Caenorhabditis elegans: one gene and its partners. The protein of the gene in region 3 interacts with the protein of the main gene of each other region in a pairwise test. Each region holds a gene or a part of one and is shown on either strand. Other genes may lie near its edges.

The links. The genes of interacting proteins can lie anywhere in the genome.
Region 1: the proteins of Y57A10B.6 (region 3) and tbx-42 interact in a two-hybrid assay, tested with the Caenorhabditis elegans proteins (one large-scale study listed by BioGRID).
Region 2: the proteins of Y57A10B.6 (region 3) and tbx-39 interact in a two-hybrid assay, tested with the Caenorhabditis elegans proteins (one large-scale study listed by BioGRID).

Annotation. Positions count from the first base shown.
Region 1 is NC_003282.8:5,230,772-5,235,662, reverse strand, and holds tbx-42 (Putative T-box protein 30/42), read left to right. Parts: upstream 1-1,787; coding exon 1,788-1,984; intron 1,985-2,033; coding exon 2,034-2,220; intron 2,221-2,275; coding exon 2,276-2,818; downstream 2,819-4,891. Other genes in the region: thn-5 (Pathogenesis-related protein 5-like), read right to left, coding at 3,184-3,398, 3,607-3,832, 4,573-4,830. UniProt on the Caenorhabditis elegans protein: Involved in the regulatory network to control embryonic patterning and morphogenesis. Implicated in negatively regulating vab-7 expression at the anterior of embryos.
Region 2 is NC_003282.8:15,321,943-15,327,262, reverse strand, and holds tbx-39 (Putative T-box protein 39), read right to left. Parts: upstream 3,371-5,320; coding exon 3,174-3,370; intron 3,122-3,173; coding exon 2,935-3,121; intron 2,881-2,934; coding exon 2,074-2,880; downstream 1-2,073. Other genes in the region: tbx-40 (Putative T-box protein 40), read left to right, coding at 1-324; Y73F8A.15 (DUF38 domain-containing protein), read right to left, coding at 5,083-5,285.
Region 3 is NC_003280.10:12,387,180-12,395,052, reverse strand, and holds Y57A10B.6 (SEC-C motif-containing protein), read right to left. Parts: upstream 4,971-7,873; 5' UTR 4,898-4,970; coding exon 4,832-4,897; intron 4,135-4,831; coding exon 3,544-4,134; intron 2,982-3,543; coding exon 2,682-2,981; intron 2,632-2,681; coding exon 2,476-2,631; 3' UTR 2,391-2,475; downstream 1-2,390. Other genes in the region: F57G9.7 (Serpentine Receptor, class E (Epsilon)), read left to right, coding at 17-197; Y57A10B.7 (Gag protease polyprotein), read left to right, coding at 1,310-1,420, 1,473-1,688, 1,754-2,026, 2,086-2,301; sre-41 (Serpentine Receptor, class E (Epsilon)), read right to left, coding at 5,214-5,403, 5,460-5,593, 5,821-6,103, 6,285-6,760.

The sequences.
Region 1 (4,891 bases), on a different chromosome or scaffold from region 3:
TCTGAAATAACTCAATACAAATTTGGTATACAATCAAAGCACAAGATTTTTCCTACTTTGTTTTTAAAAACAAAATGAAACATGTGAACATATATGATATTGAACTAATAATTTTCTTGAAGAAACTCAAAAAACCCTGAAAGGTTAAGCTTTTTTTTAACTCAATGTCGGTAAACTGGTTACATTAGGTTATTTTTTCCTCTCAAATTCAAAGAAGAAATTGCAAGTTTGAAAATGAAATGCTACTTTAAGTTTTAATTTCTAATATTTTCCACAAAAAATCCTCGGTCTTGTATTTTAATCTCCTGTTTTTATATTGACCCTTATTCATTTCCCATTGTCTGTCAATATAGTTGTCATTCCAATGATGACAATAGGTGCTTTCGGTAATAATAAGGAATTAATTTATATAAAAATTGGGTGGAATACATTTTGTCAGGATTTTCAGCCTCTGTGTATGTTAAAGATGTGAAATGGAATATTATATTGATCACGGAAGCAACAATAAATTATCCTCCTTTTAGTTATTTTTCATTTTTTAGGCTGAACTGATATTGTCATCATTGGAATGACAACTATATTGACAGACAATGGGAAATGAATAAGGGTCAATATAAAAACAGGAGATTAAAATACAAGACCGAGGATTTTTTGTGGAAAATATTAGAAATTAAAACTTAAAGTAGCATTTCATTTTCAAACTTGCAATTTCTTCTTTGAATTTGAGAGGAAAAAATAACCTAATGTAACCAGTTTACCGACATTGAGTTAAAAAAAAGCTTAACCTTTCAGGGTTTTTTGAGTTTCTTCAAGAAAATTATTAGTTCAATATCATATATGTTCACATGTTTCATTTTGTTTTTAAAAACAAAGTAGGAAAAATCTTGTGCTTTGATTGTATACCAAATTTGTATTGAGTTATTTCAGATTAATATCAATTTGATAACGATTTGTTTGACTTTCTGGGCTAAAAGTTTAGGTCAGTGTTTCTTTTTTTACTATATCTTTTAAAAATATTAGCCACGTTATTTAAAAAATGCCTTGTTTGCGCTTACTGTTCAACTGAGAAAAAATATTTCCTAATTTATACGTTTCACAGTTTCTGAAAATTCCAAAGAGCCCAAAATTAACACCAAACTAATTTGTTTTGACAATGAAACGTCTTCGTCTATAATTTGCAATGTATATGATGCCGAAGTTTTCATAAGAAAATACCAATTGGCTCATCCTATCCACTGCTTTAAATAAATGAATGAAACAGTACAATTTTAAAAAGATTCTATCAAACAATTTTGAAGTCAGTTCAATAAGACTTTCATTTTAACTCAATAAATACCCACTAATTTTGTAAAAAAAAACATATCACTCACATGCTAGTCGTCGTCTTGTTTCCTGTTCGAACTGTATTTTTATAAAAATATAAATGTATCGTATTTGGTATTGTACTAACCCAATTTTTTTCCGGTAAACCTTAATTTCGAAAAATTGTTTCAATTCTCAATCTCTTGTTACTATAACCTTTAATTTCTTATCGTTAATATATTTGTTATTTATTGACGTCTTTGAGAATATGTTAGCTCTCAGGAAATCGATAATTGGATGGACCCCGCCTCCGTGCTCAGACTCCGCCTGCTGTGTGTGCTCTGAAACAAGATGAGCATGGAGGCAGAAAATCATTCATTACAACATTCCGGTTAGAATACAGTTCATTTTTTTCTTTCTTTTTGCTTTTATATATATTTTTTAATTTTTCTATTCGTTTTTAATTTCAGATAAAGGTCTCTGCGATGAATCCATCAACTCAAATCGTTGTGAAAATGTCAAATGAAGAACTATGGAAAGAAAGATATCCAAATATGGAAATGATTTCAAACAGTAAAAGAATTACTCCAATTTTCCCTGAAATCAAATTCAAAATCTCTGGATTGGAAGAAAATTCAAGATATGTATTGGTACTGTCACTTGAAAAGATGGATAATATCAGGTAATTTTGATTATTTTACAAAAATTAAATAAATTCCTAATTATTTCAGATATGGAATAAATGAAAACAAAGAATGGGCTCCATCGTCTGCTCGTAAACCAAAACCACATCATAATATGAAGTTTTTCTTTCATCCAGAAGGAACAAAACTTGGAAAAGAATTGATGGCTGAAACAGTTGAATTCACTTCAGTGAGGATTACAACAAGTGAGAAATTATCAGAAAAGGAGAATGTGGTTAGTTTCTATTTTTATTGCTTTAATCAATTTATTGAAAAACTATTTATTTCAGTTCTATGTTCACACAATGCACAAGTACGTGCCTGTGCTTACAATCAGGAACCTAACAACCGGAGAAATTGCCTCAAATATCTTTAAAATGGAAATTGCTCAATTCTTCCCAGTTTCAATTTATCAGCAAGCTTCCATGGGAAGATGGAAGTCTGATTTGAACAAGCATTCAACTTTTGGAAATAGGTCAGAAGGTGGAATAAAAAGAAAAACTTCTGATGCAGCTGGACAACTACCATCAAAAAGGTCATCGAAGAAGCCTGTAAAGAAGGATGTTGTGGATAATTCTGAAGTTACTCTAGAAGTGAAAACGTCTCAATATCTTGTGAATCAAAACGAGAGTAATCTAACTGAGTATATTCCTTCTTCTCCACTCTATTCATCCCAAAACCAGTATCAATATCCGTTCCATCCATATTCTCCATTTGACTCATCTATCCCATATCCATACTCTCCAATGGATTACTCTTATTACTTCAATCCAACTTTCCAATCATTTTCCCCAGAAAATGTATATTTTGATGAAAATAGAAACCCCCATTAACTACTCGAATAGCCATTTCAAATAATTTACTCTTTTTTGTTCTTTTCATGATTGCTCCCCTTTGATAGTTAATTATTTATTCTTCCTGTGAATATCAATGATTCCCCATGTTTTCTATGTTTGATATCATTAAAATTTCTTTCTTTTGTCCTTTTATATTTGATTTTGTTGTCGATAAATTTAAATTTAACCTGTTTTGTGATTCATTTATTAATTTTCATTCCAATAAGATTTAAAAATTAATTATTATGTTCAGTTAAAAGCACGCTTCAAAAATAAAATCAGGCTGCGAAATTCTGCAGAAATTTTCTGAAAATGCTTTAAAAAAACCCAGAACATTTATCCAGAAATTTAAGCCCACTCAATTAACAAAATTGAACTACATAATTTGCATTTTTACAAGTAAAAGTGGAAGTAGCATCATCATAAGCATAAGAATATGCAGTTGGACAAGCATCTTTGAAAAGCATTGCAGTTCTGCTTTGTCTACATTTGTCAGGAGTTCCAAATGCTCCACGGCAGCATTCCTGATCGTTGTTGTAAGCAACACAACCAGATTTACAGCCAACGGTACGACCATCTGAAATTGAAACAGTTGGAGAAATTTTAGTTTTTAAAAATTTGTTCTGTTTCAATATGTGATTATTTCTGAACTTTTTCAAAGTAAAAGTATTATCCATTCCGTGATTAAAGCAAAAATGACTTTAAATAAAAATTAAACAGGTTATTTATTTTTTTGAAGTTTTTTTAACGGAAAATTAAAAATTCTCAACCCCACCGCCACTTACCTTTTCTCACTGCAAGATCGCCTGGACAGAAATCATTGATATTTTTGAAACATCCTCCTGCTCTTCTACAATCACCCTCACCACCATAAGGATCAATAAGAACTGGAATATTATATCCATCAACAAGCGAAACATCATAAAAATCTTTTCCATCAGCTCCACGGAGAGTAAATTCGGCGAGACTTGCCGGAGGCTCTCCACCAGCGCCGTTGCATTGCTCCCGCCGCTGAAGGTTGTTTATTTCAATTATACACTGTTTCATGAAGTTGTTAATTTTGCAAGTCTGTTCTTCAAAATCGTTTAATACAATATTTTACCTGTTTTTATTTTTGAGAAATTTGGAGTTCCACTAATGTTCAAATACGAATAATTATTAAAAAAAATTAGGATGTGAAAAATTTAGGTATCATTATAACGCCCACATCGTTTTTCGTCGAAGATTTTGCACAATTTTTAAAAATATGACTTTCTGGAATCATCAAGAAAACATTATGTTGCTTAGGTCTCAACTTCTATGTGCCTGCCTATGCCTATTCGAATAAATTTAGTTGGCGTAAAATTTTTACTCCCAGATCTTGAGCGAAACACATTATTTAGAATCAAAAAGATTGCAAGATCGAAATTGGTGGAAAAAACAAAGATTTTTAATTGTTTTTGAAACAGTAAATATTTTGCACTCAAAATGTAAATTTTTTACCTTAAAACTAAGAAGGCCCCACAAATTCCAATTTGCAAAATACATAGTTAGTTTAACTTTAAAACATTTGTTTCTATCAATTTTCGTCAAATACTATTTAAAAAATGTGTTCCCCATTGGCAACTTCTGAGTACTGTAAAGTTTTGGTAATCAACTATTGTTTAATCTATATTTCTGAGCATCTTCGAGAAAAATATGGAATTTATTGAAAAAATGAACATATTTTTGCATCTATGAATTTTGAAAATTTCGGAGTTCCCAATATTTACCCCACAATTGCCTGTTGCACAATTCATATTCCCATCACAATCAGTTCTCGGCCAAATTCTCGCAGATTTCCATCCGTCATCAACATAAATACTTCTTGCTTCACCTGCATTCAATCGAAATCCTCCTCCTTCAGGATTTCCCGGTCCTAGAATTCCAGCCCATGTTGTGAATGGACACTTGTTGTAGATTTTGATCTCTCTCGATAAAGATGGAATGACGAAAAGAGAAATTGAGAGAATACCGGCGAAAAATAACATTTCGAACACCGAGTTGCCCCCACGCACTTATATACTGTTCCGCTGGTAATGAAAACAATGG
Region 2 (5,320 bases), on a different chromosome or scaffold from region 3:
TATGCTCAGCAATTTCCAGCTCCATTTGATGAAAAGCAAAATCAATTCTATCCAAAAACTGATGAAAATCTGGCGCCAAACTGTGCTCAAGATGCTTCAAGTTTGCCAAACTTTGCGATGAATCAAAAGGCTTCTTTTGCAAATCAATATCCATATCATCCATATTACCATCAATATTCTCAGCTTGATCATGGATCTCCATATCAGTACATGAATAACTCCATCAATTCCGACTCCTCTTTCCAGTCATCATTTTCTACTGAAAATTCGTATTTTGATGACAATGGAAACCCAATTCATTATCCCTATTATCCTTACAAATAATTTGTATCTTCATTTCTGTATGAGTACCTCCTTATCATGTTTTCCAGTGAGTTTCACGGTTTTTTTTTCCATATTTCCCCTCTAAAAACCAACTAACACTTTCCTGTGAATACATTAGACTTTTTTTTTCAATTTTTACTTATACTGTTTTATGTGGTTCTCAATTTCTGATCTATTTTCTTTATTTTCAATTTTTACGTATCTGATTTCCATTTCTATTAATAAAGTTGAACACTTTTATTTTGCAAAAATTGCTAAAAATGCTAAAATTAATATTTACGCACTCTGTTTTTACCAGGAAAAAAATTCGACAAAATAATCGACAGTAAGTTTTCATTTTGACCAATTACTTAAAACTCGAAACAGTAGTGTTCTCCAAATTTACGTTCATTTTCAGAATATCGAGTATTTTCAATTTCAAAATTATGTTCCCCACAACAAAACGTACTTTTTGAAATTATTTGTAGAAATATACAAACATTCTCGAGCAGAAATTGTTTCCTCAATTATTTTTTCATGGTTTCAAAAAAATAAATAATTCTACGAAAGGAAGATTGAGGTTTTCTAATTCTAAAAGTTGGTTGACTCTCTGGCGGAACATTTGTCTGCTTCAAGTTGTTGATATATTTTCATATAGTTTGAGTACAATTTGATATTTACTCACTGGAAAATTGACTCATAAAGAACTGAGAATGAAACAGTAAAATAAGTCAGAAAAAAATTACAAAATAAAACAAAATGAAAGAAGGCAAGAAACTCACAGGAAACTTTGAATTTTTATTATTATTTTTTATTATTTTTATTATCAACAGTAAGTTTTTATGCAATCCAATTATTTACAACTTGATACAGTTTTTTTTTAATACAATTTTTTAAATAACCAGAATAGTTTCAATTTCAAAAAATAATATTCTCCACAAAAAAAATAATTTAGCAGCAAAAAAAGTTTATATTTTTCATTGTTCAAAAAATAAACTTTGAAAGTGAGGGAATTTAATGTTCAAGTACCAAAAAATAAATAAATCAACGACAGGAAAAGTCGTCTGCTTTACATAGTTGGTATATTTCCTGTTTTTTTTTGTAAAGTTACGTATCTGCGGCCCACAATATAATCGAAAAATTTGAAAAATTTCAAATTTTAATATCCGAAATTCGGAATAATTTGACACGCAAAAATGATGTGCTTATGTTTCTATTCCACACTTGATTCATCAAAATTGAAACATTAAAATAAAAAAAAAAGCAAACTTTTTTGCTAAGCAGCTCCATAATAGGCTTTCCATCCGGGCGAGGTGTGTCGGGGGCGCCCTTCGCCCGCCTCTTTCCCGCGCCCCCCTCACGCCCGCCCTGACACCCGGTATGCAATTTGTCGTCGCGGTGTTTGCAGAAATGAAACAAATTGGACGCGCATTTAGAAAACTTTGCCATCACGTTATAATATTAAATTGTAATTTTGGCAATTATTTTTATTCAATAGTGGATTAATAGTGCAATGTTTAATTTTGAAAATGAATAATGTATGAATTTCTGAGCCCTTTTATCATAACGGTAAAGCAAGATTAGTGTTAAAAGTTTATTAAAAGAAAATTGATTTACAAATTATTGCGACTAGAAACAGAAAATTAGGTGAGAAATAATTTACAGAATTAAACAAAATGAGCTAAAGTCAATATGGACAGAGAAGTCAAAACAATCACAGGAAAATTTGAAAAAAATAGGAAACAAGGGTTAGTAATGAAGAAGTGACAATTAATTGCTAGAATAATATGGATAGTGGATAGGATTTCCATTTTCATCGAAATATGAATTTTCAGCAGAAAATGATGACTGGAAAGAGGAATCAGAATAAATAGAGTTATTCATGGAATAGTTGAGATGTGGAAACTGTTGGCTGGATTGAAAATATGGATAATAATAGGGATAGGAACCATATGGATATTGATTTGGAAATTGAGAGACTGGGTAATCTGGAGCATTCTGATGAATATTTTCCTTTTGATTGATCGCAAATTGTGGTACACTTGAAAGATACTGAACATTTTTTGCAACCCTATTTTGTTTAGTTTTCGGATCGAATTGATTGTGGATTTCATCAAATAGAGCTGTGAATTGCTGAACATAAATTGGTGGAGTATTGACTGTTGGATACGCATGTGGATATTGATTTTGATAGGAAGTTGATGGGAACTGGTGAATAGAGGAACTGATCTCATTTTGAAGCCTTCCAGAATTCGTGGACTCATTATAATTTTCTGATTGTGAGGCAACTTGAAGGATATCCGAAACAGCAATTTCTGTTTCATTTTTTGATCGTTTTGATGTTCGCTCTTCACTCGAATCAGTATTCTTTCTCTTGTTTCCCCCATCCAATCTATTTCCATATGTTGAGTTCTTGTGAAATTTAGATTTCCAATTTCCGATCGATTCTTGATTGTATACTGTGACTGGGAAAAATTGGGCTACTTCCATTCTCATAGAATGATTTGCAGATTCAACATTCGTGATATTTTTGACAGTGAGGACTGGAACATACTTGTGCATTGTTTCCACGAAAAACTGAAATAAAAATTAATTATAATATTATTTAGTGAATTAAAAATTCAAACTAACCACATTATCCTTGTCCATGAATTTTTTGTGATTCGTAATCCTGACTGTATCAAATTTAATAGTTTCCTTCATCAATTCCTTTCCAAGTTTTGTTCCATCTGGATGTAAGAAATATTTGATTTCTTGTTCTTTTTTCGTTGCATGACGGACTTTTGAAGGTCCCCATTTTCCATTTCGGTATCCATATCTGAAATTAAGATTTGTCTTTAATGGTGACTTTGAAAATCATTAAAAAATACCTGATATTGTCATATTTTTCAATTGAAAGAAGTACAACATATCTCGATTTCTCTTCCAATCCAGTAATATTGAAGTTGAGTTCGGGAAAAATTAGTTTCGGCCCTTTATTATTCACAATCATTTCCATATTTGGATACCATTGTTTCCATCGGTCTTCTTCAGCCATTGTAACATTGAATTGAGCTTGTGAAAACATTATTGAATCTGAATATTGAAAAAAAATCAACATATATTAATAGGAAGTATGAAAGAAAAAAAACGGTATACTAAACAAAATATTATAATGAATGATCCTCTCTATCCCTTTAATGTTTTAGACCCCACTTAGTGGGCGGAGCCTGAGCACTGGGTTGAGTCAACCAATTATCGATTGATTGTATTCACTTGCTCTCTTAGAATTGCTCAACAAAAACTGTTTGAAACTGGAAATCGTACTTTATATAGTGATGTCCTTTTAATCACTATATTGAAACAGTAACTTTTTGAGTGCTGCCGCATTTGATAAAAACGCCCGAGTTACTAATTTAAAATAAAAATACTAAAACCCGATCCAAAGCAAATTATTTAAGGATATCCACATTTAGACTTTTATTTTGTAGTGTCAATTTTCTGCGTGCTTCTCTATTCCAGATTACCTTTTCACATATTAATATTTCATGTCAAAGTTGTCTATTCCAAAACATTACGTTACAGTTCCACTGGTGACCTATATTCTTCCCAATTGTCATTCACATAATGACAATAGGTGCAAGGTATCCCCCACCTTAACATCCACCACTTTACAACTCTACTTCCTTCTCCTTGACATATCATTCCTTTTCGATCGATTTCCGGACACACACCTGACAATCCAAATGGTTGTAAACTTTATGTACTGGGAAAATATATTTAGTCTTTTGATAGATAATAAGCAGAAAAGTGAGAAAGTGTATACTTTTACAAAATTGAAAATATAGAAAATGATAGGTTTACATTTCATTGCAAACGTTATTTTAATAACAAAATTTCAGACAGAAAAGGATTTATTTGAAAAGTTTCTATTTTGGATGAAAATTCTACTCCGCTCTGCAAAACACTATGTCAGTATTAGTAAATATGTATTAGACATCACATTCTTAAAGAGAGAATTAATAAGCTGTAATTAAAAAAAAAATAAAAATTGCTGTTTCAACATTGTGATACATTTGCTGCATTAATGAGAGTAAGACAATTTGTTTGGTGGCCTTATTGATGTTAGTGAAATATGCCACATTTATTCTCGAAAATATGAATTAATTAATTAAAATCCCAACAGAAGTTACTTTTTTCTTGAATATTTTTCTATCGGTAAGAATATAGCTTCGGTTTACAATTTACTGAGATATATATGTACATAACTAAACTATTGAGCTGACAAATTCAAAAATATCCAAAAACAATCAAGGAATACAGGTTGAACGGATCATTGAGCATATTATGCATGTTGACATTAAAATTAAAATTGTAATACAAAAGTATTTACGGAGTGTTTTAAATTACTATAGTGAAACACGCAATATGTAGATAAACAATTTTGATAAAGTTAAAGACAGAATTTTTTTGAGTAGCCATTCTATTTAATTCCATGTGCATATAATTGTATTTTTTTCCGAAAAATTAACTAATGCTGAAATTAAAATTATGTTTCAATGTCCTGATAACTTTGTCACCATGTTTTGCAATTATTATGTTTTTCTCCCAACAATATTTTCTGATTGGAACTGGAATCAAAAAATCATTTTTAAAATTCATATTAATATCAACAACAAGTTATGCGTTTAGATTTACCAACGTTTAGAAACAGTAAAAATTATCAGAACTTTACAAAAATTCTTTTCGAGCAACTTCTTTATTCTAATCAAGTACTACTTCATTCATCACAATGGAATATTAATTGATAACAATTCCAGATTTAAGTCTCCATTTTCCTTCTTCTCCTTCACGCAATAGATAGAAATCAGCAATATTGGTTCTTGGCCCAACTACATGTGAAACATTGAACTTGATTTCATTTTTTCCTTGAGTAAAAATCGATGATTTGAGGATCAATGGCTCGGGATTCGGCTTGGTAAGGTAGCTTTCCACGAATAGAGCTGAAAAAATTAAACAATCATTAGAGTATTTAGTA
Region 3 (7,873 bases):
ATTTTTCCATTTTCAGCAATCCATTATTCATATGCTCTGCGGTATTCTACATGAAACCCCGTTGGCTCAAAAGTCTGCTACAATTGGTTCCCGGCAGATTGGCACGCCGTACTCATGCAGTTGAATTTTCTGAAACTGAGAAAATAAGGGAATCGGAAGCTGATGCACATTTCGAGCAGTTGAGAAAGTTGTGGTGATTTTGACATTTTTTTGTTGTATATTTTATTTTTATTTTTATTTTTATTTTTTCATAAACTTGTTTTTTATCCAAAAATGCTTCCAAACACTATGTAGATCTGCGTAGCAAACAAGTAATAATAAGTTTTTCTCTCAGTATTCTCACACCCCGGATTTCTGGGTTTTCTCAGAAGTTTTCCAGCTGCTGGGTGAACTGCTAATCAGTTTTCTGGTCAAACTATCTACGAAAGTGCCGGCGTACAATGATGATCTCATTATTTTTTCGCAATTTTATTTAGTTTTTTGATGCGAAAATATGCAGAACTTTATAAATCAATAAATTTGAAAAAAAACAATAATTTTAGAAATCAAATTAATAAGTTCGGTAAAAATCAGCAGATTTTGAAAAAATCAATAAATTTTGAAAACCGATAATTTTAAATCAATAATTTTAGACAAAAAATCGACACATTAAAAAAACTATAGATGAGCAAAATCAAAAAGTTTGGAAAATTCGATAAATTTGGAAAAAAATCGATAAGTTCGATAAAAATCCGCAGATTTTTGAAAAATCGATAATATTAGACAAAAAAATCAATAAATTTTGTAAAAATCGATAAATTTGGAAAATATCCACATTTTTAGAAGAAAAAAAATTTGATTAAGTCGGCAAAACAAATAAGCAATTTTTTGCTGTCTAGAAAAAATTTCCAACCGTAAAAAATAATTCCAGAAACCCGCTGATAATAACCCCGGCTGTAGTAATTCGCATACCGCTCTGGAAGTCGAAGTTACTGGAATCACTGCCACGTTTCTTGCGGAACAAACTTTCCAGAACATCCAGCGAGGTCCGACCTTTAGACTATACCGCTCGGCGTACCGTTGCCGACGAGTCGAACACTTACTGGACACAATTTTCGAGCTCTTGGTGATTGATTTTTTACGTGAAAAATTTTGAACAAAATATTTTTTAGATTTTTTTTTTCAAATTTTTTGAAATTCTAAATAAAAAATAATAGAACACGTGATTTTATTATTTGATCAATTTCCTGGTTTCATAATCAAAAAATAATTTATTCCTAATTTTACAAAGTTACAAAATCGGCGCAAATTTCTTGATTCAAAAATCGATATGGCTCCGCGTAAGAAGGTGAATGAAATGGTGATTCGGAAGACGGCGAATTTGACGGACAAAATGCGAAAGGAGCGGACAGTTGAGGAGTTTGAGGAGGTTAAAACCGCTGTGAGTTTTTTTTCTTTTTTTTTAATTTTCTAAAAATTTTAGCCATTTTCAGCAATCCAAATCCTACGAATCCGACACTTCATCGGCCGAATCGTTGCGTCAAAAACGAACAGCTCCCTCCGCGATTCGTACCGTGCAAATTCAAAAAGAAATCGTTCTTCCTTACGATGGAAATCTAGTCTCCGTCTATGAGAAGTCGAGCAACACCCGCTCTTTGGACACGATTTCAGAGCCAGGCGATCTTGAGGAGTTCAAGAAGAAGGCTGAGGTAGGTATAAACTAAAATTGCCTACCTGCCTACCATCAGTCGATAGCCCAACTTTTTTTTTTCAGGAATCCAAGTACGTTGGTCCTCAGATTGTCCCAATGAAATTCGTGACAACTGACGTGGAGACGCCGGTTAAGGCGATTTTTGTTTCGGATTTCGACTTCTGCCAGGCAATGCATCACCCGCCACAAAGCTCGACCCAAAGCAAGAAAGTGGAATTTTCCAAGCGGTTCGAGGTGGAGCAGAAGTTTCTGGAGGAAATGGTGGCGGATATCGAGAAGCTCATAGTGTCCAGTGGAAGAATGGATGTGGAGCTGAAAGTTGTCAAGGCTAGAGAGGTCGCGAAAATTCATTGCAAATTTTTCAAATGTTTCAAACTCATATTTCAAATTTTCAGGAAAACGATAGTCCACGTGCAAAAATCAGCCTGGTCCGGAAAATTCACGCGGAAAAAGTCGATGACAATCTCAACAATCAAGCCGGGCTTGTTGGCTTCATCCTGCCTGATTTGGAAATGAAGGACCACGGGATTCCGTTGAAAATCACCAAAAACCAGCAAGTTCCGTCGGGCCAGAAAATGTTCGAATCGTTTAAACGTCTTTTTGGATATTGATTTGATTATGAGCATGATAAAGATTTTCTGATTTTTTTTTCAGAACTATTATATTTTATTTTAATTGTTTTGTTCTTTTTTCAGAAATTAGAAATTCAGGAGTAAAACACATTTCATTTAATGATATTAAAACCAAAAACTTTGGAAAAACAGGTTCAAATAAATTATTTTCGATTAAGCGGACTTGAGATCTTCAATCTTCTGCAGCACAAGCTTCACAGGTTTAGTTGCTCGTTCTTCAAATTTGACAAGAATATTCTTCACATCGAATCGTTCGAATTGATCCAGCGAGACGTCCTGTGACAGGAAGAAGTTGCAAATTGGGTCGACCTGAAGACAAAAAGCTTTATTTAAACATTTTGCAAGCTTCCAAAACTTACAAAATAGTCCTTCCAATCCTCATCACCCAAGTACCTATCACCTTTGAAATATCCCATCAAAAGCGTCATCACACTATCGGGCACAAGCCCGAGCTCCGAGTTCTCGCGTAAGTATCTTTCCAGAGCTTCCAAATTCTCCCATTGCATACCGACTTCTTCCATCTCTTCGATAAAGTCGATCAGGTGCTTGCAATCTTCCTGTTCTGGGCAGTAGAGGTGACACGAAAGAGCAATGTCGTATTTTCGGTAGAATTCCAGCGGCAGCTCGTCTGTACCGACAAATTCTATGGCGGTGGATATCTGGAAATTTTTCAATGTTTTTTGGAGAAGTTGACGGAGGTTTTGGAGTTTTAAAAGTATATTCTCGGATTTTCTTAATTATGGATTAATTAAGCCGAAGCCCTAAACCTAAGCTTAAGCATATGACTAATCGTAAGCCTATGCTTAAGCCTAAGCGGAAACCTACGCTAAGTCTAAGACAGGCCCTAAGCCTTAGCCCAAGCCTACGCATAAGCCTAATCATACGTTTAATCAGAAGCCACATCATAAGCCTTATTCTAAGCCTTATTTTAAGCCTACACATAAGACTAAACCTAACATTTGTAAGGTTAAGCCTAAGCCTAAGCTCAAGCTTAAGCCTAAGCTCAAGCTTAAGCCAAAGCCTAAGCCTAAGTCTAATCCTTAACCTGAGCCTAAATTTTTTTAAGCTTCAATACCTTCAAACTGAAGTGGGCCCAAATTTCATAATTATTAAAATTTCAGTTAATCGCCAATTTTTTGTAGAATTTCGGCGAGAAGTCTTCAATAGTTTTTGAAAAATCTCTGAAGGTTCTGAAAAAAAATATCTATCAAAAACCCCTACCATTTCCTCATTTCCTGCTTTAATGCACTGAGCCAAAAATATCATCTCGATTTCCATCCTATTATGTGTAAAATCTCCGTGTATAGGTGGATACCTTCTGTCCAAACTTGGAGCAACTTCAGTCTCCTCCGATTCCTCCTCGACTTCAGACTCTACCTCATCTTTCAGACGTTGATATTTTCGCACCAGCCATGCGGCTTCTTGAATTTGATGCTCAAAAACTTTGGCTCTTTCCAGAATTCCATACTTCTCAAAATCCTCAACCAACAGGTCAAGCCTGCTCAGAATGGAAAATGAGCATTTCACAAAGTCCAGGTCGGTGAAGAAGGAGACGGCGGTGAGCAGCTTCAGCGTGTGCACCGAGACTATTCCGTCGGGGTACTCCTCGAAAGTACTGTCAGCAAACCGTTTCAACATCCAAGGCTTTTCGTGTTCGATTTTTTGGAGTTTAAAGTTTTGATAGTTGGAGGCCATGGAGAGTGCTAGCTGGTTGTTTGGAGCATGTCGCTGCACAATGTATGGGAAGTTGTGTTGCTCCAGGATATCCATAGGTACAGTGCCAAATTTCAGCTGTGAGAAGGCTTTGGTTATCTGGAAATTATGGGACGATTAAGGAAATTATGGGACGATTTTCTGAATTTCATTTTAAAAAATTCACGCTGCTTGCAAAAAATCTGGTTTTCTAGAAACTTTTTCAAACTTTTTCCAGATTTTCACTTAACTTTTGAACTTTGAGGTTTCAATAGTTGAGTGAAAAAAACAATTTTTAACCCACAAAATATCATGTCAAATTTCAAATGAATGTTCGTTCAAAAAATGAGTTCTTGGTTGAATTCAAAAATCCGCCCAAAAAATTCTAAAAAATACTTTCCTTACAATTTCAGTTTTTAAAATGTTTTTTTTTAAATTTATTTTTCCAAACATCAATATTTTGAGTTTTTTAATAAACGTTTCTAATTAAAAAATACATATAAAAGCTTTGAAAATTTGTAGATTTTTTTAAATTTTAGGTGGCTTGCAAAAAAAAATTCCACACATGGCAATGTTTTTTTGAACAACTTTTCTTTGTAACTTTTTCAAATTGCATTCAAAAAATTTCAAAAAAAAAAGTTGTTCATTGAAGCATTGAGAATCTTTTTATTCCAAGACTAAAAAATTCAAAGCTTAATTTTTTTTAAATAAAATTTTCAGTTCAAAAATTCGCCAAAAACTTGTTTTTTTTCTATTTTCCAAACACCAACCAGTTGTATGAAAGATTAATTTTAAATTTTTTTTTTTTAAAACTTACCAATTTATCGTCTCCAGTCCTGATGGTTCTCGCGAGAATATGAGCCGTATATTCTGTGTCGTTCATTTTCCACCGAGAAGATTGCAGAGAGTGAGACAGAAAAATAGAGGAATTACACCGAATACACGCCATTGAGACTAACTTGGTACATTGAGAGAGACTCCACCCAGTTTTTTACAAGCGCAGGCGGGAAGAGGGTATGTACCAAGTTGCGGGTAAGTACATTTTATGGCTGTTGGGGGTGCTAACTTGGCAGATGGACGGAGAAAAAACAGGAGGGAATATTTCAAAAATTTATGAAAAATATTTTTTCGGAGCCTAAAAATTTTTAAACAATTCCAAAAAAAACACAATTATAAAACCTCAGCTATGACAACAAATTTCAGTTCCACGAGCTTCTCAATTGCTGGAAATACACTTCAGATTCCAAAACAACTGATCTCCTAGACTCCGAAATCCCAATTCTCGATGTCCCACTAATATGTTTCCCCAATACCGGCAACTTTTGCATGAACTCGTGTCGCCAAGCCACCGAGCAACATAAAAGAGCAACTGCCATTACTAAGGCTGGTCTGAAATTTTTTTTTTTTAATTAATTTTGTTGAAAAATTATGGTGAATCGACTCACAATAAGATGAGATTCTCTAGTATGTGAACGAAGAACACTTGAAGTCTTTCGAAGAATCCGAGCATGAGGCAGGTGAACACGAGGAGAGTTAGGGAAATGTGCACGGAGCCCACGAGAACTGTGTACTTGGCGAGCTGGAAGAGAGAAGTTCGTTGGCCTAACTTTTCGCTGGCCAAGGTTTTTCTAAACGAAAGCTGATGGGATGGCCTAACTTTTGTAAAGTTAAAAATTTGGCCGAGACAAAAATAGCATGACTTTATGAATTTTTGACTTTTCTAGGACTTTGGGTACACAATTGATGGCCTAACTTTTGCTAGACAACATCCTCGGTCTTGCTTTCGCTGGCCTAACTTTTCCTCACCTTCAAGCTTCGAATATTCTCCTCAACTTGAAACTTTCTCGCCAATGAATATTTTTCATGGTCGGTTATATTCTTCCGCATCTGATTTCGGAACACGAAATTGATTCGAAGAATTGTAGCGTAGGCTGACGTGGATAACACAATGCAAACCGCCCATTGACCATAAACTACGAGGAATGGTATCCGGTTATGGATCACAAAATAGACATATGGAATTGTAATAATATTAACTAGTATGATAAGGATTACTGGGATATGGCGACGGCGTACGTGCTCGTAGTCGCTGGAAAATATACAATTGAACGTTCCTGTATCTGGCGCCAAATTGGAAATTTTAAAATGTTAAAATACTTTGGAGCATAACTTAAAATTTATTTCATCAAAAAAATTAAATTTGGTCTAATTTTTTTCAGAGATTAAGATTTTAAGACTAATTTTCAAATTTGAATTTTCAAAAAACTCACTGAATATAAAACGTCGCACATGCTCTTTCCACACCAATAGCCATAATTCCAAAAAACATGGAAAACATATAATGTCTGTAAACATAGCATGCTATGTACAATACCCTTATATCATCAGTGCTCTCCACCAAAACCATATCATTTCGTCCGCTGCTCCACCAGGAAAAATATGATTTTCCGGGTGAATTTCCGATTTGAATTAAGCCAATTTGATAGGGAAGTATAAGAATTTTGGCGAGAATCGCCTCAAACCATTGGCACAAAAAGAACGCCATTAAAATGTTCTTGTTCTCGTGGAAAAGTCGAATTTTTGTGATGATTTTGCAAGTTCTTACAATAATATATGCCGTGGAGCAGTAAATGAGAATTTGGATTGCTGCGAAAAAAGGGTAAATTGGGGACTCGTAAACTCTGTCGTTTAAAGAGAAAACTGGAATCCATAGAGTTTCTGTAGAGTTTAAAAATGCTATGATCATATTATATGTTCTCTGAAAAATAACAAAAAATTGTGAAGAGTGATGAGCTTGAAGCAAACGAAAAAAGAAATGAGTGAAACTTGCAAGCAGATGTTTGTGCTTGAGAAATGCGTCAGCAATTTTTTTAAAAATGAAAAATGAATTTCCTAATGAGACTAGAAATATTTTCATGTGTATTTTGTATTCAATATTTTTTGTTAACTGATTAGGCTTTTAGGTGGGAAATAAGGAAATTGAAAAGCGGTTTTCAGAAATTTGAAACAATAACTCAAAAACGCTACACCATCTTAAAATTTATTCCAAATATTTATTGGTAACCGAGCAGAATCAATAATATGGCAAAACCGGATCTACATACTAAGTTCAGATAAACATTTAAAATTAATTGGAAATATTTCACCTGCTCGGTTAAAAATTGGCCTTGGGAAACTAATATTGTACTGCTCATTGGTTTTATATTTTTGAAATGGACATGTTTTTTGAATCACTTGTTGTTCTTTGAAATTATATGCCATTGATAAAGTAGATAAATCAAGCGTGAGAGCTGATGAGCTCGAGAGATCAAGGATTTATTTTTGAGGCATGAGGAAGAGGGTGGAATTTCCAAGAAGATCAATTTCACCTGTTCGAAGGAAACCAGTATTCATGGAAAGTAAATATATTTGTTTCCGAAAAATGTAAAATTCAACTTTTTTAGGATCCAGAACCTCATATTTGCTTAAAATCGTAATGAAATCAAAAATCCTCCTGTTCAGAAAAAAGAATGTAAGTACCGTTTAAGTTCCAGGCGCAGTTTTAGGGCCTGGTGCCTTGTGCCGTTCATTCCACATATTTCGATAGTTGAATCTTTCGTAGCAGCCGACACTTTTTGAGTTCCACGCCGCACCTTACAGAAGGCACGGGAGTGGCGTAAGGCAGGCAAGCGCGGTAGTTGCTTTGGCCCTGCTAGTTTATATTCTCAACATAATGAGCAACATTAGCATGTCTAAATGTAGGCAAGTAGGTAGGCACGTAGGCACCTGGTGTCAGGCTATCCTATTATGGTTTGATCTACAAAAAATGCGGGATTTTTTTGCCCAAAAACATGCGATGTCAGCACGTTCTTAACCAAGC